2 linked regions of the Kluyveromyces lactis genome follow. The protein of the gene in region 2 purifies or fractionates together with the protein of the main gene of each other region. This does not show direct contact. Links are inferred from orthologs where the notes say so. Each region holds a gene or a part of one and is shown on either strand. Other genes may lie near its edges.

Region 1 (3,980 bases), about 300 kb from region 2:
GCAATTTTTTGAATGCTCTTATTCAAAGGTATGAAGAACCAAACCCTCAAACAAGGTGGGATTCTCCATTATTCACTATATTGACGTCTCAAGATGACATCAGTACCCTATACACAGATATTAGTAAGGCAATATTCCCAACCGTGTTCAAACCGGCAACGAATGATAGAGATACTGAGAAGATCCTGCAACAATTAAAGCCAAACAATGCCACGATATTGAAGGCTGCCTCTCACACTAACTCTTTGCAAATACTTGACTCCGAGGCCAGTAGTGTCATAAAGATTATAATGAAATATATGCAGCAAAATGTGGTCAGTGGTGGCACTTCAAGAATAATTCTTACTCCTGAGAATACTGATTTAAACGATCCAAACTGTCTTTATGTCGATCTCTCACTACAAAATTGCTCCATGCCTCAATTACAAAGAATAAAACGTCAATTTGTTGCAATGAATAGATTAAGAAACTTAGAGCAAGATAGAGTAAAACCGTTATTCGTTGAATATTTGAACAAACATTTGAATGTCTGAATTCTTCAACTCATGGCAACACTTAAAGCGCTTTGATCGACATAATCTTTCACATGAACACTTATCTCACATTAAAATAATGAAGGAAATTTCCTTCCAGAATAATATCATATCTGTCTATAAACTATTTACAGCTTTAGTAGCTTCTTAATATTGGTATGACTACCATCCACCCGGTCAAGTAACTTCGATAGTGACGCTTTTAAGTCATCACTTATCACCAATTTACTTCTATGAATCCATAACAAATGACCATTATCCACTATATCTGATAAAATGACTTTGTCATTCTTGTTTAATAATGATTTTATGAAGAAATCCCATACGTTACTATCGACAGCACTCTCACACAAGCATTGTTTCCAAAATTTAAACAAAGTCGGCCAGTTTTCACTTTCTACCAAAGTCGTTATTATTTCTTTTATCACGTCATTTGTTAATGATCTTACCTCAAATTCATTTGTGATGAGATTGACATACTCGTAAAGTGAGTTAAGGTTAGTGTTTTCGGTATGCATTGACTTAACTAAAAGTTTGATGACCCTGGGATCATGGACAACCTTAGGATCACTATATTGATATGACTGTAAGGCCTTGAGAATCCACATATTCACACTTATCAGCTGGTTATAGCTTTTCGAAAGTTTGAGATGTTGAATGCAAATTTCAAGAAAGCCAATTAACTCCTCTCTTGTCGGCTGACATAATGCCAATTGCTTAAACCTAAAAAAATCATTGATGAAATAGTTTAGTTCTCTGTTAAACTCTTTGATTGTACTGGCATCTAACTGAGTATTTTCTTCTATGTTATTTCTTTTGGAAATGTAAAGTAACTGGAAAAACTTGAACCTTGCACCCCAGTACTCATAGTCTAACGGACCTTCGGTTGGTGTGGCTTCATTAAATAGCTTTATCCAATTTTCGGCATCAAGTTCTATATGGTTTGGTAAACGTCCGAGAGCAGATGCTATAACATGGTAAGGCTTTTTTTCTTCTTTTATCAGTTTTGAAGCGGAATCTAGGTCCTGGATTGTAAGAGCTTCCAAGAACGTTGGTTTCGGAGATTCTCCCACGGTAGAATAGTATCTTTTCGTATTTTTCATCATCAACTTTCTTAATCCAAGTAAAACATCATCCTCTTCTTCCGCTGGTGGGTTTAAATTGATTTGCTTCTTGTACTGGTCAAGCTCCTCAACACGACAATACAACTCCTCCAAATTCAAATCATCTCTTCTTTCCTCAGTCATTATATTGATAAACAGCCCATCAACGTTAGAATCTATCAAACACCAGCCACTTTCATCATTCTCTATCTTGGCTATTTTGCCCAAATTAGTTTTCCTGCCTAGACGCCTTTGTCTCTTTCTTAGTATACCACTGGTGACCAAACCTTCCGATTTGGGTACTTCATCAAACGTTTCTTTAATAAACTTTATTAGCTCATCATTACAGTTTTGAAGGTGTCTAAATGATTTCACAGTACCAATTAAAACATAGCTAGCCATGCTTTGAATTGAAGTGGCAGAACTGGAGTGGGCAGTGTCGAAAACCACAATGTCCGTTACTGCCAACTTATCATTTAGATATTTTGAAATGGTTTCTAGTGAAGCAGGAATTTCTGTAGGAGGAAACCGTATGGGTTTAATGAAAGGAGAATTTGAATCTTCCTCCTTATTCTCTGATATGTCCAAATACCACGGCTTGCTCTGTCTTAAGGAGTGTCTGGTGGTAAAATTTCGAATGAATAAGGTAGAACCCGGTCTATAACAAAGACGAGCCACATTGTTGCGAAGAAGTACTGCGTAGGATCTATGCATGGTTAAACTAATAGACAAGCTCAACTTCTCGAAACCGTATGAATCCAGGTAACTGGTTAAATGTATGTTCCTGAATTTTTATTATAATTGTGGAGCTTCTGCAGATCGTTGAATAGGAACCAGTTAATGTTCATATATTTTTTTTTTCCATCATAAAAGTTACACATAAGATAATATTATATATAGTTACAATTTTACAATTTTTCAGTAAATATGAAAAGAGAGGAATGTGTCATGAGGGTGTATTAAATTTGTTGGTTATTGTCCTCTTAGTTCCGGCTGAATATTTTCATCAGGAATATCGTCTTTCTTGAGATTATTATCGGAGACATTTTCCTCGGCTTCAACTTCCTTCAAATGAGATGACAACAACCTTAGCTGCTCCGCCATGTCGTCATGAGGTGATAATTGTTTATGGCCAGTGACTAAATCGACATCGACGTTCACGTCAGAATCAACACTTTGATTTGACAGGATATCTCTGGTAGCCATTTTAAGAGCTTCCGCGACTCTGTCTCTTTCTCTTCTGTGGAGCTGTCTCTTGGAATCGGGTACACCGACGTCTAAACTTTCATCGTCTTGCACTTGTTCTAGCGTACGTTTCAGATCCTCGGTATCGTGGTTTTCTCTAGACTGCAGAGCCGCTGCAGCGGCAGCTGCAGCAGCTGCGACACGTACGTTAGTGTCATCCAGATTATGTATAGCGGAATCATCATTATCACTGATCGAACCAATTCTGTTCTGATATACATTATGTCCACTATCAACATGTGATTGGTGTTGTTCCTGGTGTTGTAGTTGTTGCTGTTGCTGTTGGTGATGATGCTGAACGTCGCGTTGTTGACCTTCGGGTAGTTGGTGTTGGTGGTGAGCTGGTATCGATGGATGATGATGGTGTTGTACTTGATGGTGGTCACCGCCAGTCAATTGATGAGCGGTGGGCATTGCGTATACGCCATCCTTCTTTCTTTTCAAGACGAATCTGGCCTTATACGTGGTAACACGTCTAGCGATGTTACTTAACATTTTCTTATCCATTTCAGCTTCGGTCAACCCGTACCGTTGCTTGATGATATCGAGAATCCCGGATTCTTCCACGTACTGTGCCACTCTAAACTTTGCCACTGTATTATCGTCATCGTTACACAACGACTCTAGAATAGCGTCGAATTTGAGATCAACTTGTAAAATCTTTGGAATTTTACTCAAGACAAACCGTTGCAAAGAAAGGTTTGATTCCAACGGATGGTTATGATAAGGTTCAATCTTGGTTACCACGAAGGGACCCTTGATAGTCTCCTGAGAGTCTGCAACTGCTGCAACTGCCGCTGCGATAGCAGCAGTCACAGCCGCATCATCATCCTCATCATCGTCCTCATCCTCCGCTCTACCATCTTCGGCCAAATTCGTATGACCATTATGGTGATTCGAACCAGACGACGAAGAACCACCATCGCCACTTAAACCATGCGGAGAACCATCCTCAGACGAACCAGAATTGTTGGCGCCCTGATACGACAACAAAATCTTGAACGGACAACTTTTCAAATGGCACGCGAAAGTGAAATGTTTATTCTTATGTGAATTCTTCAAAATAATAGGACATCTCGATTGAAACTCATAATCGTTA
Region 2 (2,657 bases):
GAAGATCTATTTTTTATCATTGATTATTGTAACAGTTTCATTGCATCGTGGCGCAACCATCCACGAGATCAAAAATGCGGGCGTGCTGCCTTACCTGTTATGGTTGTTTTTTAATGTCAGCTTATTTCAATTTTTTTTCAATAGAGACGGCTGGTACGGCTTTCATAACATTATACCACTACTTTTTTGAACCAATCAAGAACCTTCATAAATTATCAAAAATGCGGACCAAAATTGCTTGTAATCTTTTCATTTCTAATAGAGCAACTTGCTCACTCAATGCAGCTTTGTTTTAGATAGAGCGTACAAATCCTTTCTTATGCTTATCCTTTCTCATGATTTTCCTTTCTTATTGGATGCACTTGATGAGGTATAAGGACTAGCATAATCCGCCTTTTTATTTTACAGATTATACAATTATATATCCACCCGACATGCTAATGATACAAATAACTTTACCTAGAGAAGCTGGACCTGCATAGAGTACCTTGCATTATGGTTCAACTCTGGAGCTCTTTCAACTTTGAATCTTCCTTGTCTTTGGGTTTGCATTGATATCGAGCATTACTTACTATATGTTTGAATTGCTTCTATGTACATGTTTCATTTTATGAAAATTCAGCAAGTGTTTGATAGTGTGAATGTGCTCATTTCTTCTTTCTCATACTTGCTTCCAAATCTCCGACATCCAATCTGGTGTTTCTGATGTAATAATGTTTACTTCTGCGTCTCTTACCATCCGCTCTTCTAATCAAATCAATTCTCTCTACCAATGGTGAGAAGATTGGCACTCTCATTTCCACACAGGTTTTATAAATATAATCTCTTAATAGAATGGATGTGTCTTGTACTATTGGCTTACGGTCTACCGATAGCACATATCCAGTAAAACTATCGTAGTTGCATTTCTTGGAATCGTAAACTACACGAAGAACATCACCTGCACGTAGACGATTTGGGTTTTTCTTTGAAACCATCTCTGTTTTTACACCAGTTGGGTCAAGTTGTTTTAGATCATGATCAGCTAGAGTCTTCACTACTAATGGGGAGGATATTCTTTCAACTGGTGGGTAAACTGGAATAATCTTTCTTCCACTCTTAGCTGGAAGTTGATAACTTCTAACAGATTGTCTGATAACGGTAGGTAGTAGTCTCTTTAACATTGTATGGGACTAATATAGTTTTGGAATGGGAACTTGATCTGACGGGTAGTAAAGGCTTAAACTCAAATATAAACTGCGCTTCAGTGCTTTCTTAACTCTTAGGTACTTATGTTTCCATCTTTTTTAACCAAAATTTTCGAATGTTCTTTCTATGGAAAACTACAACATAGGTTTGATGATCATTTTAAACGTTTTGATCATGGCAGATGCAATAGACACGGAAAATGGTGAATGAATGATAACGTTTCAGTCCATGTTTGCTGATTGTATTAAGTGCGTATCTACTAATTCTATATATGCAAGACCATACTAAAACCTAGGTCTTCTCTTTCTACCCGTAAACTTCGAGTCGAGAGCTACCTTTCTACCTCTTTTTTTCATCACCTCCTTCTTTCTGTTGATGTAATCCTTACTTGATTCAACTAGTTTCTTTTTACGCTCTCTCTTTACCATTAGATCTGCATCCATCTTAACACCATCCAAGTTGACTTGTTCATTCTGTTCTGTAGATCCGGAGCTTAATACCAAGTAGTACTTCTTGTTCTTTTTGGACTCGGGATCATCAATGACAAGGCCACCAGAGAATCCAGCTACTTTTGCTGCTCCCAAGATTTGGTCTATTTGATCATCATTCTTTGGATAGAATTGTGCTACAAATTTTCCTCCTTTCTTCAAACTAGCAAATAGTGTATTGAAGAACCTCATGAGCCTTCTCTTTGGATCGTTGTACGATGTGTCCGCATTACATAACCATTGAATCACAGATATACTAATTGCCGCATCAAATACACCTGCTCTAAATGGAATACCTTGACCTATATCGTGTAACATAAGATCACCTTCAACTTCTCTTTCTAGCGCTTCAGCTAACATACTAGGAGAAATGTCTAATCCACACCATATATGTCCTTCTTCAGTGATGATTTCACCACTTAAACCAGACCCACACCCAATATCCAAGATATATGATGTATGTGGCAGGTTGAGAAGTTCTAAGGCCCGAAGTGTCATTTTAGCTTGAATATGTTGCACTCTTGTGGAGCCACTATACTTCTTAGATTCACTGTCATTGTAAAACACTTCTGGTGGTGCCAAATCTTCTGGACGTGACATTTCGATCTCAAACTTCTTGTAATTGTTATCCTATTATACTTTATTCCCGTCAGTTGATTAACAGAGCATATCAATGCAAACAGCTTGCTCAAGTAGCCATTGTTAGTTCGTAAATGTTTGGCGATGACCGAGATGAGCTTTAAAATTTTGAATCAAACGTTCGGAAAAGAAACTTGGTTGTAGTAAAGAATGTGGTCACGTGCAATAGGGAACGTATCAAGCTAGTAGATATAAGATTACAAGTCCTTACTATCACATTCAGTATAGCGCCTAATGCTCTTTTACTGTTGTATTGATCAGTATAATCGGCTAAGTTTTGGAATATTTCGCATTATGTGGCATATTTGTTAAATTACCGTTGTTTGCGTAAATATACATAAG

What was found.
Region 1: the proteins of IMG1 (region 2) and ATP25 purify together in Saccharomyces cerevisiae (affinity purification with mass spectrometry, with the first as the bait; 3 studies listed by BioGRID). This does not show direct contact. The link is inferred for Kluyveromyces lactis from reciprocal best matches to the Saccharomyces cerevisiae genes IMG1 and ATP25.

Annotation. Positions count from the first base shown.
Region 1 is NC_006042.1:273,680-277,659, forward strand, and holds ATP25 (Atp25p), read right to left. Parts: upstream 2,351-3,980; coding exon 662-2,350; downstream 1-661. Other genes in the region: KTI12 (Kti12p), read left to right, coding at 1-533; DNA-binding protein ABF1, read right to left, coding at 2,609-3,980. UniProt on the Saccharomyces cerevisiae protein: mRNA stabilization factor specific for the 0.95 kb OLI1 mRNA. Also involved in OLI1 ring formation.
Region 2 is NC_006042.1:571,515-574,171, reverse strand, and holds IMG1 (mitochondrial 54S ribosomal protein bL19m), read right to left. Parts: upstream 1,164-2,657; coding exon 648-1,163; downstream 1-647. Other genes in the region: BUD23 (18S rRNA (guanine1575-N7)-methyltransferase), read right to left, coding at 1,473-2,276. UniProt on the Saccharomyces cerevisiae protein: Component of the mitochondrial ribosome (mitoribosome), a dedicated translation machinery responsible for the synthesis of mitochondrial genome-encoded proteins, including at least some of the essential transmembrane subunits of the mitochondrial respiratory chain.